4 linked regions of the Drosophila melanogaster genome follow. Changing the gene in region 1 together with any one later gene gives a genetic interaction. Each region holds a gene or a part of one and is shown in the gene's direction. Other genes may lie near its edges. The genes, in order: dco, Vang, per and Fmr1.

What was found.
Region 2: of dco (region 1) and Vang, changing one enhances a phenotype caused by changing the other (phenotypic enhancement), as found in Drosophila melanogaster (one study listed by BioGRID).
Region 3: of dco (region 1) and per, changing one suppresses a phenotype caused by changing the other (phenotypic suppression), as found in Drosophila melanogaster (3 studies listed by BioGRID).
Region 4: of dco (region 1) and Fmr1, changing one suppresses a phenotype caused by changing the other (phenotypic suppression), as found in Drosophila melanogaster (one study listed by BioGRID).

The regions. Positions count from the first base shown.
Region 1 is NT_033777.3:31,054,179-31,062,931, reverse strand, and holds the start of dco (discs overgrown), read left to right. Parts: upstream 1-1,721; 5' UTR 1,722-1,855; exon of another isoform or gene 1,856-2,467; 5' UTR 2,468-2,557; intron 2,558-4,289; exon of another isoform or gene 4,290-4,304; 5' UTR 4,305-4,392; intron 4,393-5,003; 5' UTR 5,004-5,080; coding exon 5,081-6,403; 3' UTR 6,404-8,753. UniProt on the Drosophila melanogaster protein: Serine/threonine-protein kinase which is involved in the circadian rhythm pathway, viability and planar cell polarity.
Region 2 is NT_033778.4:9,101,374-9,108,116, forward strand, and holds Vang (Van gogh), read left to right. Parts: upstream 1-1,864; 5' UTR 1,865-2,202; coding exon 2,203-2,443; intron 2,444-2,510; coding exon 2,511-4,015; coding exon of another isoform or gene 4,016-4,096; 3' UTR 4,097-5,423; downstream 5,424-6,743. Other genes in the region: CG8777 (uncharacterized protein), read left to right, coding at 1-552, 611-1,042, 1,103-1,277, 1,337-1,524, 1,584-1,746; Pgm2a (phosphoglucomutase 2a), read right to left, coding at 6,025-6,743.
Region 3 is NC_004354.4:2,683,321-2,692,320, forward strand, and holds the start of per (period), read left to right. Parts: upstream 1-2,259; 5' UTR 2,260-2,580; intron 2,581-4,876; 5' UTR 4,877-4,924; coding exon 4,925-5,019; intron 5,020-5,079; coding exon 5,080-6,119; intron 6,120-6,183; coding exon 6,184-6,540; intron 6,541-6,602; coding exon 6,603-8,317; intron 8,318-8,387; coding exon 8,388-8,624; intron 8,625-8,688; coding exon 8,689-8,829; intron 8,830-8,887; coding exon 8,888-8,959; 3' UTR 8,960-9,000. UniProt on the Drosophila melanogaster protein: Essential for biological clock functions. Determines the period length of circadian and ultradian rhythms; an increase in PER dosage leads to shortened circadian rhythms and a decrease leads to lengthened circadian rhythms.
Region 4 is NT_033777.3:10,106,090-10,111,816, reverse strand, and holds the start of Fmr1 (fragile X messenger ribonucleoprotein 1), read left to right. Parts: upstream 1-1,695; 5' UTR 1,696-2,001; intron 2,002-2,208; exon of another isoform or gene 2,209-2,293; intron 2,294-2,593; exon of another isoform or gene 2,594-2,745; 5' UTR 2,746-2,841; intron 2,842-2,905; 5' UTR 2,906-2,927; coding exon 2,928-3,122; intron 3,123-3,474; exon of another isoform or gene 3,475-3,587; intron 3,588-4,337; coding exon 4,338-4,387; intron 4,388-5,703; coding exon 5,704-5,727. UniProt on the Drosophila melanogaster protein: Polyribosome-associated RNA-binding protein that plays a role in neuronal development and synaptic plasticity through the regulation of protein synthesis of mRNAs.

The DNA.
Region 1 (8,753 bases):
AAAAGGGCACTGCAAAAAAATGAGTGATTAAAGTTTTTCAAATATTATTCAAAACCAGTACCAGAGGCAGCTAAGTCTGTCGTCTGATTCGTATTTTTATTTAAAGAATAATATCAAAAACAAGTTTATATTGCGTGTTAAAAAAAAATACAACAAAATTAGGAAATAAATTGTCTTAGTATCCCAATAATGTGGCATACTTTTTTACAGTGTTCTTTGAATGGATCATTTACATACACGCGTCTCGCTCGGTTTTTATTGCTTCGCACCTACATATTTGGTTTACTTTTTTCGTTATTTATTTGTTGGTAGTTGACCATCGGTCGAAATAACGACGATTTTCATTCGTCGGCGATCGCACGTCTTTGCGTGTGTGAGTGGGAAAGATATGCTTTGAATTAGTGTGTGTGTGTGAGCGGTTAAACGAGTTGTTTTCTCGTTTTACTTGTTGTATCTTCAATTGCCTCGTTGGATTGCTTTGTTTTCTCTTTTTCCCAGCCAATGGGAGACAAAGGCGGGTTTTTACGAAGATCTTGAACGATTCACCAATAAATTGAAAATGGAGATTTCTATAGTTGCATAAAAAAAATGCATTCTGGCTAATGTATATAAATACAGCAATGGAAAATTAAAATCGTAGGCAAGTGCAATTAATGTGATTTATTTTGTCTATATTTCATTTTAAATTGCCAGCCCCAATATCGAATCGTTACACTCTTTTCACCCCTTTTTTTGTTATCATTTTCGAGTGATTGCTTATCTACCCTACCCCCACTTAAAAAGAAACACACCTTGGCACATACTCCCAAAAAAAAAAAAACACATTTTCTCATATATGCATACATAACTGGATCTGCTTCCTTTTTTTATGTCATCGTTTCTTGGGTTACACAGCCGGAAAATGCACGATGTGAGGGTAAATGGGGAAAGCGGTTGGGCGGACTAATGGAATTCACACGTGTTTTGCTTTATTCGTATTGCTGCAATAAAAGTATACGTTTCAGGTATTTCGATACATCTGTGTAACATCAAAATTGGCATGCTACCTATAACTGCAAGACATGCCAATGAAATCCATTTTCAATTTCTATTTACACGAGAATTTGGAGCACAAGCCTGTAAAAAGAGTTAACAACTTTTCTTAAGAACATTGCAAATTAAGACATAAATTTTATTTACATATTATTGAGTTATCAAATTTGTATATTAGTATAAATATCATTTCAGAATGATTTTTTTTTTTTTGTATTGTTTATTGTATTCTCTTTGAAAATAAAATTAAGCAGATGGGCCTTTGAATGCATAATTCAAAAACTTTCAATAACTTTAGATATTTTCAATTGCATTTCTGAAATAAGGCGCCACCTTTTGTTTCGGGCGCCACCTGGATACCACTTTCGCCAACTCATCCGCTAGGTGGCGCAGCTCAAAAATATTTTTCGTCCATCTGGCAGCACTGGGTCTATGTAAGAACTAGTGTGCCCATATAACAAAAACAGCGTTGTCAACTTGGCTATTTCACAGCTTTCCAGTTACTCGAACTTTGAACTTATGGCTAGCTGCAAGGATATAATTTCGTTTTTCTTTTGATTTTCCAATACTCTTGCGCTATTTTCTTAATGTGGTACTTCGAAACCAACTTTGGACTATCTTAACTTAGTATATGAATCACAGTTTTTCACAATTACATATCTTCTAGACATTCGCTGAGGAGTAAATACCAGATGGTAATTTTCTTCATTATCGGCGCGGTCACACTGCGAATATCAAGATGGCGTAAATTTGTAAAAAATCGTCGAAATCTATGTGAAATAGCCAGAAAAATTGAAACGAAAGCGCAGCGTTGATGCAAAACGTAAGTGGTCAGTAGCGTTTCGGATCGACAGACCCGTTTGCGAGCGAAAAAGCGGCGGTTACCACGCGCAGGAAAACTCGAATTTCCCAACAGCATTTCAGTGCTCATTGAGAGTGCGAGTGTGTGAGTGAGTGCCCTCGTCTTTGTGTTGGTGTGAAAATGCTGAAGCAGGAGGGATAGCAACGTGCTCGCGGTAGAAACCGTGCGAGTGCGGGCGGGACGACTAGTGTGCACGAATCTATTGCCAGGGCAAACGACTCGCATAAGTTTGGTTTTTTTAATAAGAGTCCGAGTTCCGTTTGGTTTCGTTTAATTTTCTCGAGTTGATTGGCAACAAGATGCTAATCAATGTGGCCATAAAATCAGAGAAGAACAGCATAACCGACTCGAAGATAAACGATAAAAATAACTGAAATATGGCAGCAATGCAGTATTATTAAAATTATTGCATAAAATGCGCTTGCGTGTGGCCCCAAAAAGTGCGACTGTGTGCGTGTGTTTGTGTGCGACTGTGGCAACTACAACAAAAACAACGTCTGGGCTCTAAAACAAAGAAAATGAAAATTATTGTGGCAGAATCAATCCAATTAAAAAATTCGATTTCGATTTCAGTCGAATTAGAAGAAGGAAAAGCAGCGTCGCCAGCAGAGGAAGTGGGCAAAGCGGAATAGGAAACAAGGAATATAAGAAAAACAAGCCACGGTAAGTGCGGAATTTGTTCCACTGTGCGTTCAAGTTTCCCTTCTCCACCCGCTATCGGCTGCTCCTTATCAGCCCCGTTATTCGCAGTGCATTCGTGGAGTGCCGTTAGTTTTCGGAGGCCATTAGCGTTTGACAATTAATTGCAAGTTTCCTTCCCCTTCTGAGGTTTCCCCGTTGGTTTTGCTCTGGTTTTTGGTTTTTCCATTTGCTCTTCCCTGTTTACTTAAGCTTTTTACTTTTGTGGCGCCTGCTGGAACAACTGTTTTTTGTATCTTCTTTGTTCTCCAGTGCGTTTTTTTGCGGAAGCTTTTCGGCAGCCGCCAACGCAACGTGCAGCTGTTTTGCAATTGTAATCAATTCGTGTTTACCCGCTGGTCCGAAACAACTGCTGGATACCCTGGGAAATATTTAGTTACCAATAGGAAAGACCGCGTTTTCCCTGCTAGCCTTCCAGTAAACAAATTAAAGCTCCTAAAATTAATACCACATTTCAATTTGACTTACAGTGCTTATACAGTGATTTCTTTCTGTGTAGAACATGGGAGATACAAATAAAAAACGGTACATTTCGGTTAAATAAATCAAAGCCAAGGCGAAAACAACAACAAACACAGGCAGGTTTTGAGGTTAGAACCGCAGAGTGAGTGATAAAGAGTCGGGAAAAGGAGGAGAGAGAGAGAGAGAGAAAGAGAGAGAGCGATCGAAATGCGTGAGCGGTAAAAGAAAGCGCACAGAATGTGGGAAAGAGGAGTGGGAAGGGGTTAGTGAGTGAGAGCCGCCGAAAACAATTAAACTAAATTTTTGTGATATTTGACCGGCAAGTGAAAACTTTCGGCTTGTTGCTTCGTTTTCTGACTTCCATGCGCTTTATCTTCGCTATTTGTTTGTGCTTTCCACCACTGAAAGTGTCATTTAAGTGGCATTTTCACAGTCGCTGCGTTTTATTTTACTTCTCTCCCTTTTGTCGCCGATTGTTTACTCCACGCATACACAAACACACGTCTCTTTTATCTATTTGTTGTTAATCTCTTCGTTGTCTTTTCCTGATTGCTGATTCACCTCCATGTTTCTGGTGTCGTCACGTAAAAAATACACTTGAAAAAAAGAATTATATCTATTCAAGGATGTAAAAGCACTACGGCACATTTGCTTTATTTTATAATAGTACAATATAATATTAAAATGACTAAAACAATAATGTGACGAATGTCAAAAAGTAGTGCTATTTTGCTCTGTGCATATAAATTATCGTTACTCATCACTTATTAAATCTGTTGTTTTCCCCATTCGTAATCAATACACACAGCCGAATGCAATGACGCACTCACTCTTAAATATAAATATACGAGATAAACTTTTACTTTGTGCGAGGTTCGGGTTCTTATCATTTTTGCCCACTGTGCATTTGCATTTCGAATTGCTTTTGGTACGCTTTTCTCTGCTATTTTTGTGTTGTCAACGTAAGCCAAGCTTACTTCTCTCCCGCTCTCTCTCTCTTGTTTTATTCTTAGCTAACGGTTTTCTATTTTCGATATCGATTGTTGCCGTGCGTTGTTTTCATGTCTGTGTGCCACAATCCTTATCACCACAAACAAAAGCGAATTCTGCACGTTTTTCGGGCTTACGCTGCAGATGCGATAAAAACAGGGGATTACTCTCTATATATAAGTGATCGCGAGACGGGTCGAATTTCGATTAACCATGTTGAGGATCTAAAAAAAAATTAACTTAGTACCTCCTATTACAGAACCCTTCGAATACAAAGCCATAAGCGACTGCCTTGAACAAATCGGAACAAGAAGAAGAAAGGAGCTCAGACGAAAGGACAGTGCCAGGTGAGAAAAGTGGAGAAGTGTTGGAAAATACTCACGAAGCTCCGTTAGCTCTCAAAATTAGACTTTTAGCAAACTGTACAAAACAGCAGGGTTGTCATCACGTGTCACAATATAGTGTCAGAAGAATCAAAAGTTGTAGCAAACAAAATCCGACGAATATTTTATCACTATCGCTAACAAGGCGTTCGATATTGTGTTGTTGCTTGCAAATAATCTCTTCTAATAATATCACACATTGTTGCTAGTGGTCAATAGCCGAATTTTCGAAGTCACTTGATTCATATTTACTCGTAAAAACCTGTGACGCCGCTGCTATTTCTATGATTAGTCAAAGCAACTAAGAATACTACGAATATTTACATTCTGATCGAATTCAACAATTTGCCTGCATCGTAGCAACCTTTCAATATCCTTTCGCGATTACAAAGTAAAAGTTTTAGTCCTTGGCGTAGATATTTAAATCTGTATAATATTTTAAGCGCAGCTAATCTGAACTGGGATCGATCAATTCGTGTAGCGTGTAGTATTATGAGTAAGAAAAGCGTACAGCCTTCTTTTCGAGGCAATGTGTTGTAAAATTAAAACTAAATTTCAATTCTCCGGTCCCGCAGAAAGGCAACGCAAATCCGAGGAACCCGAGGAGTCCGAACTCTACCACACAGAAACCCACAGAAACAGACGTAACAAAATGGAGCTGCGCGTGGGTAACAAATATCGCCTGGGCCGCAAGATAGGATCGGGATCGTTCGGCGACATCTACCTGGGCACCACGATCAACACTGGCGAGGAGGTGGCCATCAAGCTGGAGTGCATCCGCACCAAACACCCCCAGCTGCACATCGAGTCAAAGTTCTACAAGACGATGCAGGGTGGCATAGGCATACCCCGCATAATCTGGTGCGGCAGCGAGGGCGACTACAATGTGATGGTGATGGAGCTACTCGGACCCTCGCTGGAGGACCTCTTCAACTTTTGTTCACGCCGCTTTTCGTTGAAGACGGTTCTGCTGCTGGCGGACCAGATGATCTCCCGCATCGATTACATACACTCGCGGGACTTCATCCATCGCGACATCAAGCCGGATAACTTCCTCATGGGTCTTGGCAAAAAGGGCAACCTGGTGTACATCATTGACTTTGGCCTGGCCAAGAAATTCCGCGATGCCCGGTCGCTGAAGCACATTCCCTATCGGGAAAACAAGAACCTCACGGGCACTGCCCGCTATGCCTCCATCAACACACATTTGGGCATTGAGCAATCGCGTCGTGACGACCTGGAGTCCCTGGGCTACGTCCTAATGTACTTCAATCTGGGCGCCTTGCCCTGGCAGGGCTTAAAGGCAGCCAACAAGAGGCAAAAGTACGAGAGGATCTCGGAGAAGAAGCTGTCCACCTCGATTGTGGTGCTGTGCAAGGGCTTCCCCAGCGAGTTCGTCAACTATCTGAACTTCTGTCGCCAGATGCATTTCGACCAGCGTCCCGATTACTGCCACCTGCGCAAACTCTTCCGCAACTTGTTCCACCGTTTGGGCTTCACTTACGACTATGTGTTTGACTGGAACCTGCTTAAGTTTGGCGGACCTCGCAATCCCCAGGCGATTCAGCAGGCGCAGGACGGAGCGGACGGCCAGGCGGGTCATGATGCGGTGGCCGCAGCAGCGGCGGTGGCAGCAGCGGCAGCCGCCTCCTCGCATCAACAACAGCAGCACAAGGTCAATGCGGCGCTGGGTGGCGGAGGAGGCAGTGCAGCGCAACAGCAACTCCAGGGCGGCCAAACGCTGGCGATGCTGGGCGGCAATGGAGGCGGTAACGGCAGCCAACTGATCGGCGGCAACGGACTCAACATGGACGACTCGATGGCGGCCACCAACTCGTCGAGACCGCCGTACGACACGCCGGAGCGTCGGCCTTCGATACGGATGCGGCAGGGAGGCGGTGGTGGCGGCGGTGGAGTGGGCGTAGGCGGTATGCCGAGCGGCGGAGGGGGCGGTGGCGTGGGGAACGCCAAATAATATTTTATCGTTTAGGTTGCGACGCTGGACACGACACAGTAGACAAACAACAACAGAACTCAACAAACTATACATGTAGTATATATAGTTATATATACCTAATATATATAATACTTGCTTTATATATGCGGTAAAACACGTTGAATGTATCCAAGCGGCAGGATGACCAGGTCCCTGCCAGAAACGGAGGACAAGAGCAGTGAGAGAAGAAGAGCAGAGCATAGCAAAGCGCAGCGCTTTTCTTTTTTTGTGTGTACATTTTCGTTTGTTTTTTGACATTTTGGTTTCTGCTCCCAGATGTTAGAACGTTGAGCGCGCTTATTATTAATTAACTAGCCTATGATTAATTTAATTTATACTATTAGAACATAAACGATTGCAACCTGGCTGCAAGAAACTGCAACAAACCGCACTGTTCAATTGATTTGAGATCCCTGCCTGAAGATTGGCCAATAGATCGGCGGTTGATTAGGGGTCCGCGGAAGGGTTTGGGAGGAGGGTTAGCAGGACACGCAGGCATTTAATTCTGTTTTGCATTTGACTATTTGCTCTTGGCCGGCTCAACTTTTTCTTTGTTAACTTGAAGTCCCAGACCAAATCAGGCAGAACATGCAGAACCGATCATGAACACATAATAACTCGATTGTAAGTGTAATATTTGTGTAAAAGAAACAAAGGACACCGCGTTCAGCGAGTGTCCCTAACCCTAGACTATAGGCTCTAGCTCTAGCGAATCCAATCCATACAAAAGCATATGCCACACAGCAAGGCACCCACATTGTAACCTAAGTTGATGGTAAAATGATTGCGATTACCACGTGCAGTTCTCTAGCTTTAAGCAACGCTCTGACTTATAAGGCCCTCCTATGTTATATTATGTAACCTTCTGTACCGCCTACTCCCCTATCTATATATATATATTTATATATATATATATATATATATATATATATATATATATATATATATATATATATATATATATATACTTTCGTGGTCTGCACTTTGCTGCCTGTGTTCATATATATCTTTCCGATTTTTAAACACTTAAGCGCGCATTTCCCGAGCGGTGGGCAAATGGGATGCGAGATGTGGGAGCTGGGAGTTGGGGCAGCCCTTTGTTTACGCAACAAAATCATGTAACTAAGATAGAGAGCATATAAATTGCGTTAGACATACACAACAAAACAATTGCATTAACGTTTCGATTTAACAATGTAAGTAATGGCCCTGCGGAGGAAAGTTACACAACGCTAGCTAATAAACTATAGCTATAATATGAAATTTGTTTATAAGTAATACCAAACCGTAAAATAAAAAAGGAAAATGCAAAAAAAAAACTTAAATTCTAAATGCGCCAAGAGATAATGAATGGGTAAAAATATGAATATACATTAATATAAACTATATCTTATGAGAACACGTAAACATGTAAACCCCACAGCGATCGGCTGGCTAAGAACTAACAAATCAAAGAAATGCAAAACACAAATCGGATCACTGAACGCAGAAGCCACTAAAACTTAAATAAAAGTACATTACGTGATATTTCTTACAAATTGTTTTGTTTTCTAATCGGTTTGTTTCAGTCATTTTACTTTTATTTTTCGAACACAACTCCATTCGAAGCGCACGCCTTGCAAACGACCAACCTTGTAAACACGACCATATAGCGCATTCAGATTAGGGGATCCGCGACCGTGGAGAAGCCCCAATCCTCCTCCCCAAACCGAGAATTGAGAACCTAGTGATGAGTGTACATAAGAATAATATCCGAACCCCAAAAGTATAAAATTAAAATATATACATATGTGTGATTTTCCTCCTAGCATACAGAGTACTAAACCTAAACCATTAGCATTTTATTGATAGAAAAGAAACGAAATCGAAGCCCGACAAACTGATTCATAGCGATTATGAGCCACTAGAAATGGAGAACTAAATGATCTTGTATGAGCGAGCAGTCCATTCAGCATAAGCGAAATAGAGAAACTAACAAATTGAGAACATAGTAATTTCGAAGGTTTTGTATAATTAACTGTATATGTATATTGAGAATAGAATTTTGAACTAATAACTAATTATACTAATTGGATCGAGTTCGAGTGTATCATGGGCGATATGAGAGAAAATCATTAAAAATAAACCACCAGTGATATGGAATACAAAATAACCACAAACGAAATCGAAATCGAAATCGAAGCGGTTCATGAAACATTTCAAAAGTACGTTGGATCGGAATTCGACGGATGTATCGATAAGTGCACGATAAGGCCACATTTATGTAATTAGCAAGTATTTCGAATTAAACCGAACATGGAATATGTATGTGTGAACAGAATAAAAGCAG
Region 2 (6,743 bases), on another chromosome or scaffold:
ATCGTTAGCCAGCTACTACAGTGCCATTCTCATACCCGAGGATGCAAACGGCCACTTAGAGACGGCGACTAAGGCGTGCAAAATGGCCATTAAGGAGTGTAGCAACAGATGGCAAAATTGGAATCTTCTCGGAGTTATCAATATGAACTCCGAAAATGAGAACTTGCCATTGGCACAGCACTGTTTTATTCAGGCTGTAGTGCTGGAAAAAAAGTGCTACACAGCGTGGACCAATCTCGGAGTTCTCTATATTAAACTGAATGAAGTCCGATTGGCCAACGAGGCCTTTACGAGAGCCCAGCAATCAAGTCCCGTGTACGCCAACGCTTGGATTGGACAAGCAATGGTTGCGGAGTTGATTGGCGATCGCGAGGAAGCCTTTGATCTGTTTCGTCACTGCCAGCAGTTCGATTACCATCCGGAGGCGGCGCTTGGATTTGCGCATTGGGTGTGCGAAATGCTGTCGACTCCTGGATCTTTCGACAAGCCGCGCATAAAGCATGCCATCGAACACATGTACGCTGATGTGCTTGCGCTGGATGCCATCAATTGGTAAGTATTATAGTAATGCCCTATCTAAAACCAACTAAAGACTTGCAATACATTTAAGGTATGTGCAAAACGAGGAGACGGATGCGACACCAGCATCGCTGTCGTTCCAGGGATTTCTCTACGCCCGGAAAAACCTGTATCGCCAAGCAATCGAAGCCTTCACTCGGGCGTGTAAGTTGTGCGAACCTGGAGCGGATCGTGACAAGCTCTACACGAATCTGGGATACCTGTACTTAAAAATAGACCAGCCGGAGCAGGCGGCACACGCCCTAAACACGGTTGCACATGCCACATTTAAGCCGATCATTGGCCTGGCCCAGGCATATTATCTAGCCGGTCAGTTGCAGGAATCCTACTCTATTTACAACTCCGTTCTCGGCAACGTGGTTGATCATGGCGATGACAAAGCAGCTACCATCCTCGTGGCTATGGCATCCATGATTTACGACTTTCAGGGCGAAGCGGACACCAAAACCCTACTCTATCAGTGGTTGGTAGCGCAATATTTGTTTTGTTGATTCAACATTTCTAACGTTATAATCACCAAAAGTGTCTTGTTGAAGGAGGTCCCCATTCAGGCGTTGTTTTCAGCCCTTGCCCTAGGTATACTTCATAGAGATAATGCGTTGATCCATACGATACTGACGGAGCTGAATGCGTACGCCTTTAAGAAGGAGTATTGTGCCGACATATCCTATTTAACGGCTCACTACATCCTGATAAATGTTCGTTAAAAGTGGTGAATGTTGTGGTTCTACAAAAGTAATACTATGATTTTGTTTAGGAGGGTGCCCGAAGAGCGTTGTGCTATCTACAGACTCGCATACGAATGTTTCCCAATTCCCGAAGTCTGCGAAGTGTCGTGCTAAAGTTTCTTCTTGATTATTTCTCTGATGACCAATCCTATCGACTGGCTACTTCAAATATGGGTCGAATAACTCTTACTCTGGGACACACTAAGCAACAAAATAGGTAAGACTTGGGAATTTATATACATTGTATTATGATAGACTGAATTTGTTTATATTTAGCATCTTGGCCAGCGAAGAGGCACTGACCACTATATATGCCAGTCAGGCGGTTAGTGCAGTAGACAAAACCTGTTCTATGAAGTTGTTGCAGCGCGCCATACTGCTAAGCCCAACTGACCAGAGAGCCAGACAATTACTTTCCGCTATTATTGCAAATTCATGATATTGTCCAACAAAATAAACTTACTTTAAAATTTAAACTATCAGTTTGGCGGTTGAATTGCCAAACTGATAGTGTTTGAAAACACTAAATGCAATGTGACCGTGCTGCTGATTGTGTTGCGGTGGTCACACTGCGTCGGGGGTGAAGCCAAGTCCACGAAAAAGTGAATAAAAAGCGAAAAATGTGCGAGAAATAGTTAAATAGCGTATGAAATAGCCATGCAAGACACGAATAGTGACAATGTGCCGCAGAATTAGCCGCAGATAAAGCTCTAAATCGCCTATAGGCTATGCACTGCGCCCTGCATACCTGCGTATGAAAAACCTGCTGCCGCCGCAATTACAGTTAGACACTAAAATAGCTGCACGGCCAGGTTGCAAGGTGATTTGGGGCACGTCTCTTCGCGAGCAGGAGATTCGGAATCGGGCATAGCTCTCGCGCGCTAGCCCAATTGCAATGGAAAACGAATCCGTCAAGTCGGAACACAGTGGACGCTCCAGACGCTCGCGGAATCACAACAACAACGGCGGAGGGGGTGGCGGCGGAGGTGGTGGCGGAGGAGGCAGTGTCAACAACGGCTATCACAGGGAGCGGGACCGCTCCAGACATTCCCACCGCAGCACACACTCCTCGAAGTCGGCCAAGGGATTTCAACGTGGCGACATGGCACCGTACCAGACCAGCGTTAATATGACAGGTGAGTTTGTTTAATGGCTCTATCGGTGGAAGGAAACCAATTGACCCATTTATTATTTGGGCACCAGGAGACGGCAGCCACGATGGCCAGGAAGTCATCGAGGTGCAAATCCTTCCGCAGGACGAGAACTGGGGCGAGAATACTACCGCCGTCACGGGGAATACCTCGGAGCAAAGCATCTCAATGGAGGACATAAACAACATGTGGCATCGTGAGAGCGACAAGGGCTTCAGCTTTGCGTGCCGCCGATACGTGGAGTCGAGCTTCTACTTCCTGCTGGGATGCGGAGCGTTTTTTTCGCCAGTGGCAATGGTGGTGATGCCGTATGTGGGCTTCTTTCCGTCGGCCTTCGATCATCCGGAAATAACGCAAACTGTTCGCACCCAGCTGCTGGCCTGCAGTGAGCAGTGCAAGGGCCAACTGGTATCGCTGGCCGCCCGGCTGCTGCTTCTGGCCATCGGCCTGTGGGCAGTGTTCATGCGACGTACATCGGCCACCATGCCACGGATATTCCTATATCGCGCTCTCGTCCTCCTTCTCGTCACCATCTGCACGTTTGCTTACTGGCTCTTCTACATCGTGCAGGTCACAAACGGGGCCAAAATCGTTGTGGAGACGGGCGGCGATGCCGTGGACTACAAGTCACTGGTAGGCTATGCCACCAATTTTGTGGACACTCTTCTATTTATTCACTATGTGGCCGTGGTGTTACTAGAGCTGCGACACCAGCAGCCTTGCTACTACATCAAGATCATTCGCTCCCCGGACGGCGTTTCGCGCTCCTACATGTTGGGTCAGCTGAGCATCCAACGGGCGGCTGTGTGGGTGCTACAGCACTACTACGTGGATTTCCCCATATTTAACCCTTACCTGGAGCGCATCCCAATATCGGTCTCCAAATCGCAGCGAAACAAGATATCAAACAGTTTCAAGTACTACGAAGTGGATGGGGTGAGCAATTCGCAACAGCAAAGCCAGAGTCGAGCAGTTCTAGCAGCCAACGCGCGGCGCCGAGACTCCTCGCATAACGAGCGCTTTTACGAAGAGCACGAGTACGAACGTCGTGTGAAGAAACGGCGTGCCCGTCTTATAACCGCCGCCGAGGAGGCCTTCACCCACATCAAACGCATTCATAACGAACCGGCTCCGGCACTGCCGCTCGATCCGCAGGAGGCTGCCTCGGCGGTTTTTCCCTCGATGGCCAGGGCGCTGCAAAAATACTTACGGGTTACGCGTCAGCAGCCGCGGCATACCTTTGAGAGCATACTGAAACATCTGGCGCACTGCCTAAAGCATGATCTGTCGCCCCGCGCCTTCTTGGAACCCTACTTGACCGAGTCTCCGGTGATGCAGAGCGAGAAGGAGCGACGCTGGGTGCAGTCTTGGTCCCTGATCTGCGACGAGATCGTCTCTCGGCCAATTGGCAACGAATGCACGTTCCAGTTAATTCAGAACGATGTCTCCCTAATGGTAACCGTACACAAGCTGCCGCACTTCAACCTGGCCGAGGAGGTTGTGGATCCCAAAAGCAACAAATTTGTTCTTAAGTTGAACTCCGAAACATCCGTATGACACCACCACAACGCCCCTCCAATCAACACTCCCACTCATAGCAACCAGACGCAATCGTCCTACTTGCATGTGTTTGTCTGATTTTCCCAGCTACTAATTCACATATTCACATATTTTCTTTACTTCAGCCAAATCGATGACGTTCTTGTGAGAACTGCCATCAGGGTAATTGAATTCATTTTTATATATGCCTGAAACACCACAACCAATCAAACCAAGCAATCAAAATTACTTATCAATGAACAAGAGGAGCATTTTTAAATCGATCAAAACCCTGAATTTAAAAAAAAAAAGAAAAAAACATGGAAGTTTAGAAAGGAAAAGTTGTTGTGAGAACAAAATGTCTAGGCAGGCCTCAGCAGCTAAATTTTGATCTTGTAACAAATGATTATTAGATGAGAAGGCAACGTACTTATCAGTGCTAAACTTGAACTTATGACCCGAATATCAAGAAACAATGCTCAAAAGCCCAGTGTATCATCCTAAACCGACGCGAACATATCACACCCTTTGATAAGCAAACATGACTTACAAGTTCCCAAAGTATTAATTATAAGAATGATGGTTTGGCTTGCCGAACCGCGATCTTCAGATATCAACTCTTAAATGCAGCTCTTTTATACACGATTTTTATTTTAGTAAATATGTTTAGTGTAAAGTTGGGCTTACTCTTCGCGGAATATCTAAAATTTTACCCGATATCTGTGAGGCGTGAGCCCGATCGCTAGCCTTAAGAAGGAATGGAGTGAGCCAAGGCAAGCCCATGGAATTTTAGCTAGGACTCGGACTTGCGTCGAAAGTGCATTGGCCACTTTTGACGCGACTTAATAAGATTTTACATACGCACATTTTAAGCCGAAACCGAATGGTCCTAACTCTTCTGCCACAAAGTTGAGAAACGACGAAACAACTATAACTCGAATGCAACTGATGACAAATACATAATATAAGCGAAGACTGCCTGAATATGCATTTTATACACACAAATTGCCAACAGCCACTAGCAGGTGTATGTACTAGCCTGTGCATAGCAACCACATATATACAAAAACTCGTGTATTTTTAGAGACAAAATTATAGTGATAAGGACCCGAATTCGTATTCGAACATGTGTACGTTCCAGTGAACCCAATCTATATATACATACATATATGATATATACCTATTTACAAAACTACTTAGAAACGTTTGCTTGAGGTTTGATTTCATTTTCGTTTTCTAGCTAAATGTCTTCTGTCGAAGCTCTTTTATATTGCAATTATCTAGCAATTACTTAAAGCAATTGGAAAACCAACCTAAGCATACATACCATTTATACATACATTTACTCTCAAACTGTAACTGTTGTAATTGTAACTAGCATAAAAAACAAAATGCGTAAATAAATCAAACCCACTTCTTTAACAGCTTTAAACGAATTGTTCTATCTCGAAGGTGACGCAAATCGTGGAAATGCGCACGTAATTAATTCATTCTTGGGGGTCTTTTGAATGTCTGAAAGTTGCCTTATCAGCTCGGGATTAACAAACAGTTCCTATATTGATTATTGAGCCCAGCAGGTTTACCAAATCGCACTGAAGTATAATGTATGAGTAGATTTAATCGCAATCAATCAAGTTTCAAGTTCTTTGTGATACAAAGACTCGAATGCCTCTCGAATTTCTATGATAAGAGTAATAAGCTCAATTAATTCAAGTGGAGTGAGCACGATGGTCTCATTTCATAAGCTACTTAAATATCAAACTGAGGAAACCCATGATTTGGTGCCTGGTGGTGGATGGTGCGTTCGCTTTTATTTACATTATTTCATAAATACTAGCCAAATGTGAGTGGAATACTAACATATCAGATATCCTTTAAACAATAATAGGCAACAGCTTGCGCTGCTGTTGTTTTTTGGCTTGTGCGTCGTCAGTGCTGTTGGTATAGAACTTTCAATTTTAGACAGGTCTACGTGTTAGATCTTTCGTCCCAGTCGCCTAGCGTATCCGCTTAAAGGTGCATTCGGATTATTCCTTCCTGCGCTGGAGGCCGTTCTTGCTTGGCTCGTAGAATTCCTCGACAATGGCCTCCACCATGGTATTCATTGTATTAGTCAGCTTGGCCCAGTTTTTCTCGTCCGGCTTGCCACACATTTCGGCGTAGTACTTCATCTTGGGCTCCGTGCCGCTGGTGCGTAGAGTGACCACGAGTCCGTTTTTGAAGGTAAATGTGATCATTTGGGAACTGGAGCTGGTCGGCAAGGTGGCCTTCTTGTCGCCAGTGCTACTGTCGAATCCCGTGGTTAAATCGCGAACGTTTTCAATCTCGTACTCGCCGTTAAGGATGCTGGTCGGATAGGTGTCTGCCTTGCCCTCGTCCCAGGTGCGCAAGCGCTCAAAGATCTGCTCGATGACCGGCGGGCAACGGCATATGACATAGGAGCTGACAGTCGTGTGGAACCCATATGTTTCGTAGATGTCGCGCAGTTTCTCCTGCAGTGTCATGCACAGCTTGCACCGAAGATAGCACGCCATAGTGGCCAAATGGCCAGCCGCGCTGACACCATCCTTGTCAAGTACGGTGGTGCCGACCATGAAGCCGATCGCCTCTTCGAAGGCAAACAACACAGTTTTTCCCGCCTGCTGTAGCTCGATTGCCTTGTTACCCATCCACTTGAATCCAGTCAGCGTTTCGAAGAACTGGAAGCCTTCCCGCTCGGCCATGGCCCTGAGAATCTTTGAGCTCA
Region 3 (9,000 bases), on another chromosome or scaffold:
ATTTGGGGTTGGTGCGGCCCGGGCATTTACTTGGCCGGGAATATTCCGGGCACAGCGACGTTACTTCAGTTCAGCGGGGCAGCTGAATTCTAATGTGGACATTTTGAGGATAGCGAGACCATTCAGTGCAATCTGTAGGTGCTCCAAGGCCAAGGACTTCGTTTAAAGGTCTGCTTCAAGTCCACCTGATCTGAGCCCCGTATCTGTTATATTCCTTCATAAGTTGCCAACCGAGCAGCTCTAAACGAGACTTCCCAAGGAAACCTAGTTTGGAGAATATGACACTATATTTCTGATATTAATTTAAACTGTTCATTACATTGATATAATTTTTTTACAGACATCTATCTCATCAGAAAGTAGTCAAGTGCTGAAGTAATTTCACTTGAGCTTGTATCTCCGTTTGTGCTTACAGTTCAACGCTGGGACGGAATTGTGGTGCCAGTAATGCCACCTGATGTGCTACGTCCATCCTCTAATCGCAATCCATATTCATGGGTCCACAGGTCCTCGGACCTACGCCACTTGGACGTTGAAAGGGTGGGCCTTGGGAACTCGGCTCTAATCCCGCTCACAGTCCGACCGACACTCACCCGAAATCACCACCCGGAATCCGATTAGCGGCAATCAAATGAAATCACAGCACATCAAAACGCGACGGGGAGTGGCGAAGTGCGGCAAGTCAACAGTCGCAGCATCAAAATCAAATTAGCAGCAGTTTGGTGGCTAATTCGAACGCACTTTATCATTTTCGGGCAGGCGTCTGTGACTTTGTGGCACGTGTGTGGCCGCGATAGATAAGAGCGAGCCCCAGCAAATGCCAGCAAACTCCGGCTAGCTTGGGCAAACACCACACACGTGGCCACAAAGGAGCTGCGTGTGGAGTGGGTGCCGGGTCAAATGGATTTTCACACCCACTCGACGTCGGCAAAGCCGCCAATTAATAGAATTCAATTATTCAAAGCCACCGCAGGCCGATGGGACGGCTGATAAGGCATAAAGACATCCTTGGGCACTTCGATCGGATTAGGATAATAAAAAATGCTCCGAAAAAAAAAGAAGTTGTGGGGTCCATAAAAATATGCTTTTATGAGGGGGTAGCTAAAATCATTTCCTATTTATCAGATGCCTCAACTTTTAACCCTTCAATTGCGAAGACTAAAAGCCAAATTCAATGCACAGAAATTGCAAGTAATAATCATTTGTAACTGCATAGCAGTAGTATCAGCATCGAACCGAACCACTCGACCGCTCGGAGTTCATCAACCCCTCGTGGAAAGACGGGGAATCCCCTGCTGGCAGGTATGTGTAACGCCACCTGTGGGCCACAGCGCGCAACAGCCAGCTGGGCGGAGGCGGAAAAGCCAGGGAAAATCAGCTGTCGCTATCATCCCACTCCGTACGTGTTTCAGCGCACGCCGCGCACACCTGCCCAGGTAGAGCTTCCACGGGACAAACGGGAAACAGAAGCCCCCAAAAGCTTGGCGCCACTTTCAACTTTTCATCCGTGCTAGAGAGCCGAGCTGCTAGACCGATGCACTGCGTTGACTGCGGACTGGCGCTCTGGTGCACTGCTGGCCGCACTTGGACGATGACCAGGTGGGTGGGTGAGTAATGCCGTTGCGAAATGCCAGTGCCAGTGCGAGTTCGCACAATTCATGGTGGGGCAGGGACGGGTCCGAGTGCAAAAAGCGTCCGAGAAAGCCGTAGGCAGTGAAAAGCCGCCGCTCACGTGGCGAACTGCGTGACTTGGCCAGCAAATCCGCCGCCCAGCCGGCTCCCCGGAAAACACCCCTCGGAAAACGTGCTGCCAGCCGCCCACCAGGCAGCCCCAAAAAGGCAGGGGATTCCATAGCTTTCCTTAACCTGCAGTTGGTGCGTGGGGCTTGGATTGACACTTGGCATCGGCAGTGCCATGTAACGTATCCCACAGCATAGATAAAAACCAAAAGAAACTAGTATTCAATAGAAGCTATGAAAAAGAAAGATATCCAACATTATAGCAATCTATAAATGGGGTTTCTTGCTATGGAAAAGGGAGTCTTTGGCATTCCAATTACTTGCTTTTGTTGTTCGCGCAAAAGCTTCGCCCAAGGGTTAATGTTTGGGTCCGAGTATCTCAGCCGACCAGCGATTTCCCGAGCGACTGCGATTCCCAGCGATTCTCAGCGACGGCGGAGAGCAGCGAGTGAGTGTGAGAAAATTCTGGGAATGCGAGTGCACGGGGGCTTATACACCGGAGCTTGCGATGCGAGCACTAGTGTTCGTGCGAATTTAGAGCCAGAAGGTCGACAACGCGTTCGTCGCACAGTAGAAAGTATTGCCATATACCAAATAAATCGCAACAACGACCTGTCGAATCACGCAAACAAACAGCTTCGTTTTTTTTTTTTTAATTTCGACCAGAAACAAACCGTTATTCTTTGGTGCCAGTGTTAGTGTCAAGTGTATCGAGCTGAGTGACATATAGCCACAGCCAAAAAGTGAGACCATAAGTGAGATTCCAAACAGAAGGCAGCAGCAGCCTAATCGCAGCCTAATCGCAAAAAAGTGCAGCTGGGTGAGAGCGAGAGCGAGTGTGTAAGTGCAATTGTCACGTTGTTGCAATAAAGCTGCAAAGAAAAATCTCAGCAAGAGGCGCTAGATAGACCATTATCATATTGCCAATACAAAACAACGCATTGGGCAGGCAGCTTACATAAATAACTCGGTTCATAACGTCCAATGGCGCACTTACACATATGTACATATAGTGTTTATTAATAAGTGCACGTTGCACACCGAGCAAAGCGTAAACAAAAGCCCACATCAAAATACCTGACCCTACCGAACAATGCTCCGGGAATGCCCCACCACTTCCTTCCTTGCAGTGCCAAACAAACATACTCTGGCCGCAGAATACGCATACGCAACGTGGTGCACCACTGCAGCCGCTTGCCTTCCGGTCACCTGGAGTGCAGTACTGCAGCACACTGCGCCTACGTGAAGTGAACTCATTCATATATGTAGCTACATAGCTCTAATCGATGCCCGGCATCCAATCTGGGTCAGAGCATATTGCGCATACGCAGCGTGTTCCCTTTTGGGCATTGCACCTTGGTATTTTCAGCTTATTTGCTGCACACACGCCACGTGGGCGCAGTAATTTCTGGCAAATTTGGAATGTCTATTAAAACCCCTACGATTTGGATAGCCGCAGTCGCAGTCGCGTTACACAAGCTAAACAGAGTACCACCATTAATAGCTCAACGTTCCCATTCGTGCCCCGAATTTTCCCACAGTCTTTCCCAGTATGTCTTGCCCCCGGGTTATGCGACTGTTATCCATGTCTGTCGCGCTTCCTGTGCTGCATTATCTAACATCCTCGGAATGACGCACGACCAATGTAATCCAGCAATCCAGAGGCATCGCGGCGGATTCGATTCGACCAGTTGGCCTTCTTGCTTTGCTGCGTCAAAGTTCACCCACATATGGGATGCGAACTGGGTTAACCAGCGAGTTACACAATCCTTGGTGGGTATAAACTGAAGGATTTGGGCAGATTGAGCAGTCGGTTGGAAGCCAGTTTGTTGGGCAAAAAAATGGTATTATCCAATGGAATTTTTCACCTTCTTTGGAATTCTTTCTTCTTGAATTCTGGGCCGTCGAAACAACTATCAGCTTGTTTACTTGGCCCATTTGGTTATCTTTGCTTTTAATGGAAACTCTGAAGAGCCTGGAATGGGGTCCACCCTAATGCCTGTGTGTCTGTGTAGTATTTTTGGGTTTAGTTGATTCAGCCAAATCGGAGAGAATGAACCTGGGTCTTATGCAATCGCTGAAACCGAACTCCTTGCCGAATTGAATGCTTGCTATATGCACCGATTACGACATAGTGGTGCATTGTGAGAAATATGAGTTCTTCGCTGCGTTCTTTTTTTGTAATTGCAAAATTGCTGAAAAGAATGTGTCTTCTACTGAGGTACAGGGTACATGGTTCTGAACTACACACTACACGTATCTAAGTATCTAAGTACGTATCTGCGAATCTGGAGCCGGGATGCATTGCGACTGCATAACGACATCCGTTGGCGGAGCGGCAGAGGCAACGCGAGAGCAAAAGCACATCGCACTGCACGTGAATGCAGCGTCGCGCCGTCTCGCTCTCGCTCCCGCTGCGCTGTTAATTAGCACAGTGAAGCCTCGTTGCAGGCAACCACCGTGTGGGCGACATTGTTCTCTATCTATCGTTCTGAGTCTGGGCCGGGCAGAGAGTATACGATTCAATCAATGGCCACCATGCAGGTGCAAGTCAAGGTGACAATTTCACAACAATGCTCCAGCCAATTAGGACTAGAAGTTATCCAAGCCATGATTCATGAACATGAATGGCAGGCAGTCGGAACACGTGCAACGCCTGGTTTCCCCCCCATCATCCATTCGCTTGGCCTAGAAGATCCTAGAAAGCGTTGGTGGTTAGCTGGGCGGCACAATACTATTGGCGAGCAACGTGAAGACGGTAACGAAGCAACATTCGGAATTTGAATTGGATTCTAGAGAATCGGGGGGGTTTGCGCGTCGCAGCCCGGTGCCGCAACAGATTTCGTGATTCATTTCATCACCCGGCCGAAGTGAAACTACTCACAACGCAATCGACTCACGTTGATGCAACAGCGCTGCTCTGAATGAATCCGGTGCAAATAGAATCCGCATTGTAGTGGTTGGTCATTCATTCAACGGATACTCAGTAGTCACGGAATCTCCTCGAAGGAAGGACAAACATAGATACATAGGTTCATCATAGAAGTGAAATCAGTTAGTTAGTTATTTAGTTACCCCCATTCAAGGTCCTATCAAGGATAACTGAAGTGCTAATGGTCATCATACGATTTTCCAGAATCTCGCACTAGTCAACCAACTGGGCAAGCTGGAGAACCTAAGCACCATGGAGGGCGGCGAGTCCACGGAGTCCACACACAACACCAAGGTGTCCGACTCGGCCTACTCGAACAGCTGCAGCAACAGCCAGTCGCAGCGCAGGTGAGTCCATTTGATGTGCTCAATCATGCGAGTAGTCTAAACGATCCATCCCCTTTCCAGTGGCAGCTCCAAATCCCGCCTGAGCGGCAGCCACTCCTCCGGCAGCAGTGGCTATGGGGGCAAGCCCTCGACGCAGGCCAGCAGCAGCGACATGATCATCAAGCGCAACAAGGATAAGTCGCGCAAGAAGAAGAAGAACAAGGGCGCCGGCCAGGGGGCGGGGCAGGCGCAGACCCTGATCTCGGCGTCGACGAGCCTAGAGGGCAGGGACGAGGAGAAGCCGCGGCCCAGCGGCACTGGGTGCGTAGAACAGCAGATCTGCCGAGAGCTGCAGGATCAACAGCACGGCGAGGATCACAGCGAGCCGCAGGCCATAGAGCAGCTGCAGCAGGAGGAGGAGGAGGATCAGTCCGGCTCCGAGTCGGAGGCGGACCGAGTCGAGGGCGTGGCCAAGTCGGAGGCGGCACAGAGCTTTCCGATTCCCTCGCCGCTATCCGTCACCATTGTCCCGCCCTCGATGGGCGGCTGCGGCGGAGTGGGCCACGCAGCCGGTCTGGACAGCGGGCTGGCCAAGTTCGACAAGACCTGGGAGGCAGGTCCGGGCAAGCTGGAGTCCATGACCGGGGTGGGCGCAGCGGCGGCGGGCACAGGGCAGCGCGGGGAGCGGGTGAAGGAGGACAGCTTCTGCTGCGTCATCTCCATGCACGACGGCATCGTCCTGTACACGACGCCCAGCATCACCGATGTCCTGGGCTACCCGCGCGACATGTGGCTGGGCAGGTCCTTCATCGATTTTGTGCACCTTAAGGACCGCGCCACCTTCGCCAGTCAGATCACCACGGGCATACCCATTGCGGAATCCAGGGGCAGCGTGCCCAAGGACGCCAAGAGCACCTTCTGCGTGATGCTGCGTCGCTACCGGGGACTCAAGTCCGGCGGATTCGGCGTCATCGGCAGGCCCGTCAGCTACGAACCCTTCCGCCTGGGGCTCACCTTCAGGGAGGCTCCGGAGGAGGCGCGACCGGACAACTACATGGTCTCCAATGGCACCAACATGCTGCTCGTCATCTGCGCCACTCCGATCAAGAGCAGCTACAAGGGTGAGTATCTGTGCCCGTTTTGGTTTCATCCAGCCATCTAACCATCGATCTCTGCCCCCCCCAGTTCCCGACGAGATTCTCTCACAGAAGAGCCCCAAGTTCGCCATACGCCACACGGCCACCGGGATCATATCGCACGTGGACAGCGCGGCGGTCAGTGCACTGGGCTATCTGCCGCAGGACCTGATTGGCCGCAGCATCATGGACTTCTACCACCACGAGGACCTCTCAGTCATGAAGGAGACCTACGAGACGGTAATGAAGAAGGGTCAGACGGCGGGCGCCTCCTTCTGCAGCAAGCCATACCGCTTCCTCATCCAGAACGGTTGCTACGTCCTTCTGGAGACCGAATGGACCAGCTTCGTCAATCCATGGTCCCGCAAGCTGGAATTTGTCGTCGGACACCATCGCGTCTTTCAGGGTGAGTTCGCGTGCCGACCCAGTGATCCAATGATCCTCTAAACAGGTCATTTCACCTTCCAGGACCCAAGCAGTGCAACGTCTTCGAGGCGGCGCCCACATGTAAGCTGAAGATATCGGAGGAGGCACAGAGCCGGAACACGCGAATCAAGGAGGATATCGTGAAGCGCCTGGCGGAGACGGTGTCCCGTCCGTCGGACACGGTCAAGCAGGAGGTTTCCCGCCGCTGCCAGGCGCTGGCCAGCTTCATGGAAACGCTCATGGACGAGGTGTCCCGGGCGGATCTCAAGCTGGAGCTGCCGCACGAGAACGAGTTGACCGTCTCGGAGCGGGACAGCGTGATGCTCGGCGAGATTTCGCCGCACCACGACTACTATGACAGTAAGAGTTCCACCGAGACGCCGCCCAGCTACAACCAGCTAAACTATAACGAGAACCTGCTGCGTTTTTTCAACAGCAAGCCGGTCACGGCGCCGGCGGAGCTCGATCCGCCCAAAACGGAGCCGCCGGAGCCGCGCGGCACGTGTGTCAGTGGCGCCAGTGGTCCGATGAGTCCCGTCCACGAGGGCAGCGGGGGCAGTGGCTCCTCGGGCAACTTCACCACCGCCAGTAACATACACATGAGCAGTGTGACAAATACGAGCATTGCCGGCACTGGTGGCACGGGCACTGGTACAGGTACAGGTACTGGAACTGGAACTGGAACCGGGACAGGAACTGGAACCGGGACAGGAACTGGAACGGGAACAGGTACAGGCACAGGCACAGGCACTGGAACAGGCAATGGAACAAATTCCGGCACCGGAACCGGCACCGCCAGCTCATCCAAAGGCGGAAGCGCCGCCATACCGCCAGTCACGCTGACCGAATCCCTGCTCAATAAGCACAACGACGAGATGGAGAAGTTCATGCTGAAGAAGCACCGCGAGTCGCGCGGACGGACGGGTGAGAAGAGCAAGAAGTCCGCCAATGACACCCTTAAGATGCTGGAGTACAGCGGTCCAGGCCACGGGATAAAAAGAGGAGGCTCCCATTCCTGGGAGGGAGAGGCCAACAAGCCCAAGCAGCAGCTAACCCTGGGAACAGATGCGATCAAGGGAGCGGCAGGAAGTGCGGGCGGAGCAGTCGGCACTGGCGGTGTGGGATCAGGAGGAGCCGGTGTGGCGGGCGGAGGAGGATCCGGAACAGGCGTAGCAGGCACACCAGAAGGCAGAGCCACAACGACCTCGGGAACGGGGACACCAGGTGGAGCCGGAGGCGGAGGCGGAGCAGGAGCGGCAGCAGCGGCTGGAGCGTCCTCCTCCGTGGGCAGTTCCACGCCAGGACCCTCGTCCTATCCCACCTGCACGCAAAACATAAACCTCTGGCCACCGTTCTCGGTGGGCATCACACCGCCCGTTCACTCCACGCACACGGCCATGGCCCAGAGCAGCTTCTCCTCCGCCGGCCTCTTCCCGACCTTCTACTACATCCCCGCCTCCTTGACGCCCACCAGTCCCACGCGCTCTCCCCGGATGCACAAGCATCCGCACAAGGGTGGCACGGACATGCCCACCACCTCGCAGCAGGCGGCTGCCGCGGCCGCCCAGGCCATGCCGCTGCAGTACATGGCCGGCGTGATGTACCCGCATCCTTCGCTTTTCTACACACACCCGGCGGCGGCCGCGGCCACGGCCATGATGTACCAGCCGATGCCCTTTCCGGGAATGGCCAACGCTCTCCAGATTCCCGAACGTCCGTTGGGCTCCCAATCCGCGTACAACAAGTCGGTGTACACGGTAAGTCAGTGGCCGGTGGTGCCTCACCGAACTGTCTTAACTCCAACTCCAACTCCATACTCGTCCATAGACCACGCCGGCGTCCATGACGAAGAAGGTGCCGGGTGCATTCCACTCGGTCACCACTCCTGCCCAGGTGCAGCGTCCCTCCTCGCAGAGCGCATCCGTCAAGACGGAGCCGGGCTCCAGTGCAGCGGTATCCGATCCCTGCAAGAAGGAGGTGCCGGACTCCTCGCCCATTCCCTCCGTGATGGGCGACTACAACTCCGACCCGCCCTGCAGCAGCAGCAATCCCGCCAACAACAAGGTATGCTATACGAATGAGGTCCATTGGTGATTGGTCATTATGAAGAACATGGTCTCATCCACAGAAATACACGGACAGCAATGGGAATAGCGACGACATGGATGGCTCCAGCTTCTCCTCCTTCTACTCGTCCTTCATCAAGACCACGGACGGATCGGAGAGTCCGCCGGACACCGAAAAGGACCCCAAGCACCGAAAGCTGAAGGTACGTACAGTTCAGTCCACGATGCGATTCAATGTAATCCATTTCCGTTCTTTTGCAGAGCATGAGCACATCTGAGAGCAAGATCATGGAGCACCCGGAGGAGGACCAGACACAGCACGGGGATGGGTAGTAGCCACACCCGCAGTTGCTGCTGACCGACGTACACAACCG
Region 4 (5,727 bases), about 21 Mb from region 1:
GACTAAACTTATTGAATTTTATTTCTATTAATATTCACACTTATGCGCGAATTCTTTATGTTACTATAATTACAAATGCAGTGAACACCTTTTATAAGGAATGTATTATCTTATTTATTATTGAAAAATTTACTTGCCCGAATATTCCTCGCAGTGTATTTTACGTCGAGAGGAAGTGACGTACCTGTCACGATCGAGATTGTCACATTTTGGCAAATAAATTTCACTTGATCCCTCCACGCGGTTAAAATTAGAATTTAAATTAATTTAGTGCCCGAAGTGACCAATTGTTGCACTGCAATTGCACCCGAACCGAATCGTTTCAAATCCGATCGCGAAACGAACATAATGCTAATTGAGCGGGACAAATTCTGGGGTGCGAGCGAGATGGCTAGATGCGAGAGGAGGAGGGGCTGTCGTCGCTGAACTTTCGCTCTTTTGTTGGCCATGTCGACGTCATTAAAGTGCAGTTAATGTGCCAAAAGGTAGAACAAAAGTCAATGTCAAACGGCAGCTGCTCTCATTTTCCTCGGCAGTGGAAAAGCGGTTGAAATAGGGGTGGTTAACTGGTGGGCAAGGGCGCGGGAAAATCAAATCAGAAACTGCATTTCCGCAACAAATCGCCGCTTGACAGTAATTACCGTCAACACGAGCGGTAATTTATGACTATCGAATTGCGAATCTTGATACCCTGTATGGAAAATTGTTATGGGATTTTAACGGAATCTGCCTGCAAATAGGCTGGGAAATGCGAAAATGGCGAGTAGAGGGTATTGCCTTTGCACAGAGACACAGAATTTCCAACTATTCACAGGCATATAAAGGATTTAATGGTTCCCATTAACTGACTGGCCATGAATTTTTATAATTTGTTGGCCCATTTTCACCACACAAATGCCTAAATGGCATGCGATTTAAATACAGGCGAGCTTTTAGACTTGCCCACTTATTAATCAAGAGTAAAGTTCACAAATATAATTCATAAATCTTATTAAGTAGTTCCAAGCAAATATGTGGTTTCATCCTAAATGGAGTACTCCGTCAGATTTCTGCTGTCCGATCCGCTGAAAATTGATGGAAATTGGATTACAAATAGACCGCACTGCACCTTTATCGGCCACTCATAATCAAATGCGTTTCATGAATGGAAGGGCAAAATAAGAAAAAAAAAATAGTAAAAAGCAAATTCAACAAGCGTGTTGACAAAAAGCGCCAGCGACGTCACGCGATTTGGGGGCAATCAAAGGGGCAAATAAAACACCGCATGTGGCAAATTGCGCCCACTGTTGACCCCAGCAGTCGTTGCAATTACATAGACAATTACATTAACATTAAGGCGTAGTGGTCAGCAGTTCTGCAAATTAAAATCGAATCGAATCAATTGAAAAGCCACCAAACATGCGAATCAATCTGCTGATGGGCTAGCAATTCAATTACGTTGTTAGCAGACAGCAAACTAAGTGAGCAGTCAATAGTGTTCGGTTCGTCGACTTCATTTAAATTTTAAATGATCTTATCAGCTTTTTGAATTTCGAATCGTAACCGCCTAGCGCGCTTAAAATACAACCCTGTTTATTGTGAACCCACAACTTATAGTCACTCTGGCAAGGCCCGGTGAGCTGTCACTTAGCAGCCTTGCCACTTTACTGTCAGATCATTTTTCTCTCGCTTTCAAACAAGCCCTGTGTTATAGAGCACAAATCATTTATCAAAAATTTCGTATCTTATTTTCACAAATTTATCGCTTGGGCCAAACACGCCCGAAATCTAGCCAAAACCATCCGAAGTGGCCAGTAACGCGCGCCGATTGTAAACGGGTGGCAACTCCAGTAGAACGTTGCCGAGCTGCGAAAGTGTGCAAAAGCAAAACGAAGAGAACGCAGCGCAGCCGAAAAAAATTGAAGCAGCACTGCACGCGATATATTTTGTATTTTCAAAGGTTAAAGCCGCATTCACAGGCATCCGCCGAGGGCAAACGAAGTGCAAAAGTGCCGGCCAGCAGTAAGTTTTCAAAAATTTGCAGTCTCTTGTGTATTACAGCCGCAAAAAGTGTTGAAAAAATTTTGCAAGAACCGAAAAAAACCAAAAAATTTTGCACATCGTCGGCGGCTGCGACGTCGACGACAGCAGCGACGCCGCCTCTCTGCCGGCAGCGGCAGCAAAAGGGAGCAGCTGAAAGAGGAAAACCGATAAAATACAAAAAGAAAAGTAGAGAACGAGAACGAGAAAAACGGCGAGCGGCTACGCAACGCTGATGTTTCTTCTCTTTGAGAAAAGCGAAAATCGAAAGCAAGTGTGGAAATTATGTGTAAATTCGATATGTAAATTCGGCATGTGCCGTTCGTAGTGTGCGTACAAATTCTTATTGGAAAAGCGTGTTCATCGGTGTGAACGAACGAACGAAGCATTTCGGCGGCGAGAGAGAGAGAAAAAGAGAGCGAGAGCGCACACGCTTGGTGGTGGTCATGTGTGTGTGAGGCGGCGGGCTCACACACACAAAGGGAGAGAGACAAAGAAGAAGAGGAAGCACTGCGCTGCTGCGCTGCCGGCAAAGCCGACGTCGCTGCCGGCTTCGCCGCCAGCTGCATTTAGTGTTTAGCTAGGAATTATCTGGCCCCCAAAATAACTTCAAAATTTTCTTCAACTATTTTTTTTATTAGTGTGTCAATATATAGTCTCCCTCTCCAGATACAAAAATTCAAAAATACCAAAAACAAAACCATTCCATATTATTATTGATTACAGGCAACATTTGAAGCAGCAGCCGCCAAGCAAAAGACTGATTTGAGTACAAGGAACTAGAAGCAGGAACGCGAGGTTTCTGCCACTGCACACTGAATTGTGAGCATACCCACCCATACCTAGCTATATCTATAGCCCTAATATCTCCATTCTTCCCCCTCAGGAGCCCCAGATAACGCGGCAAACTGCAGTCGACGGGGAAAAGTCGGGAGTTGAAGGCTGGGCAGCATCAGCATCAGCAGCAGGAGGGACAGGGACGGACGGCGAAGAACCACCAGAACCAGAACCAAAACAAAGCGGATAAACCAGGAGGCACTACGTCTGGCGATATGGAAGATCTCCTCGTGGAAGTTCGGCTCGACAATGGCGCCTACTACAAGGTGAGTTGATTCAATTGGTGGAATAAAAATGTTGGTAAGGGGGTGACAAAAAAAAAGAAGGAAAAACAGAGGAGCAAGGAGTTGGGGCAGCAGCTGCCTCAGTTTCTAATTTCGTGGATTTTAGCTTTATTTCTATTAATAAACAGCAACATTTTGAGTGGAGTCTCGACATCATCGCCACCACCACCACCACTACCACTACCACTACTACACTAATACCAGCACCATCGCCAATCTGCATACACCAACGCACTCACGCACACTGCGTTGTGGGGGTGCCGACGTCGACGTCGATGTCGATGTCGACGCGGACCGCGCCGCCCACTGCGCTGCCCACTGACGTCGTCGTGCATTCGGTTTTGTTGTTTTGATGATTTCCCTTTCTTGTCGTTGCAATTTATAAAGATAAGATCCGATTAAACCATCTTATATCGCGGTTAAGTGATTTTCGCGGATAGATTACAGGTATACGAGGTTGTTAGATCTCGAATCATTAGTCTTATGAACGAAGTTCAGTCTTAAATCCCATTCATAATGCTAGCTTTTGATGTGTTTTATTGTTCACTGTTTAAACAAATTCAGCAAAAATGTATGCTTATAGGCTTAAATTTTCCAATGATAATATAGACATTTTGGAAACCAGATAACAGTGCACTTAAGAATATTCTTATACTTTCAATTATTGTTCTTAGTACTTATCCCCATCATTAGCTAACCTATTCTGGAAACCTTCTGGATATGTATAGTAAGGTAGTGAATACTTTGCATAGCGTTGCCTTTGATTTCAGTGCTTGGAATCAAAACAAGGGCAATGCACATAAACACACTCGACTAGAGCGACTTCCCTGATGCTGATGATTCAGCTGTCGGCTGTTTGCATTTCGGATAAGGTTCTACGACTACTCGCTTATCGGAGATATACGGTTTCCCTCGCTAATGCCATTGCAATTCTCGATTTCACAATGGGACGGGATTGGGGGGACTATCGTAAAAATATATTTTATATACTTATGCATATACACACATCCGAATGGAGGTATATCATAGGCAATGGCCACATTAATGACACACATTTTTCTCTCTCTACTCCTATGCCTTCCGATGCTGGCCCTGTCAATGCTCTTGTATTTCATCCGTTTGCTGCCTGCCTGCCGCCAACAAAAAACTACAACTGCAAACTAAAAACTACGACGACGACGACAACAACAACAACAGGGCCAGGTGACAGCTGTCGCCGATGATGGCATCTTTGTGGATGTGGACGGGTAAGTTTGTTTAAACAAACAAATCTGCGAACAGGGCAAACAACAACAACTAGAGCGTATTTTCTAACTAATTTGCAACGATTAATACAATCAGAGCTGCAGCAGGAGCAGCAACAACCACCGACGCGACTTCTTGGCATCCGAATTAGAAATTAGAGATTCTGGGCACGCATCATTTGTGTCGTCCGCCATCCGCCAAACCACTTCCCGCCGAATCCCCTACTGCGGACTCACTAATTTGGCGCAATTTGTTAAACGCCAGACGCCGCTGCAGCAGTTTCTGTTGCTATTAGTTGATAAAAAAGAAAAAAAAAATGAGCCAAATCAAATAAAACTGCTGACTGACAGACTGACCAACGCCATCCGCAACTGTCCGCCCCACTGACTTGGGAAGTTCCCCGATTCCCCTCGATTCCCAGAGGCAATCTTCCCAAGAAGCGGGAGCAGGGGATGGCTTCCATCTCTGCCAAAGCTGTCAAGTGCGAACGACAAATGCCACTAAGCAGCGGCGCTGAAACGGCGGCCAGCGTCAAAGGCGCGACTATTTTTAACCGCGGAAAGAAACCATTTATAATTACTCATTTTGAATTCGGTTATGACGCTCTAGCCGAACGTCTTGTAACTAAAATGTACCTTATTTTCATAAATTTTCATAATTTACCGAGTATCTGAAATGAGAACTTTGATTTATTCACGTAGCATAACAATTTGGTGTCTTAAAGTTTAAATTTAGTTCTTATTGTCTATTTTTAAAATACCTAAAGTTACTCTGAAATGCTCTGCAACACCATAGTTTGATCCAAAAATTAATTAATATATTTCTATGAGTTTTTATAGAAAAATCAAAAGAGAACACAACGGTCATTAAGCGTTTTTTAATTGCTGCCGTTTTATGTCCGTGTTTTGTTTCTGTTTTGTGTGCTTGCTGCATTTCTTGTGACGTTTTTGGATCAAAACTTTTTTTTTTGTTGCCTTCCATCTCTTCTGACACACCGAAATCCACTTGAGCTGAGCAGCTGGATCTAAATTTAGTTGCGCCACTATCCTGTCGGACGGTGTGTCGTTTCCGATCTGCGTTTCTGGGCGGGATTAGGAATGGGTTTTTGCCAATGGGAGCATGGGTATGGACGTGGGTTCACTGTGAAAACCCCCACATTGGTTGTTGCTGTTGCTAGTTGGCTGTTGGCACACTGCCAGCGGAGCAGCTGTCGCCAGAGAATATGCAAACACCTGTCCGCAGACCTTTATGCTAAGAATAAATAACAAGTGCAGCATGATTAATTAATTATACCTCATTCGCACACGCATTGTTGCAGCGTGCCCGAGAGTATGAAATATCC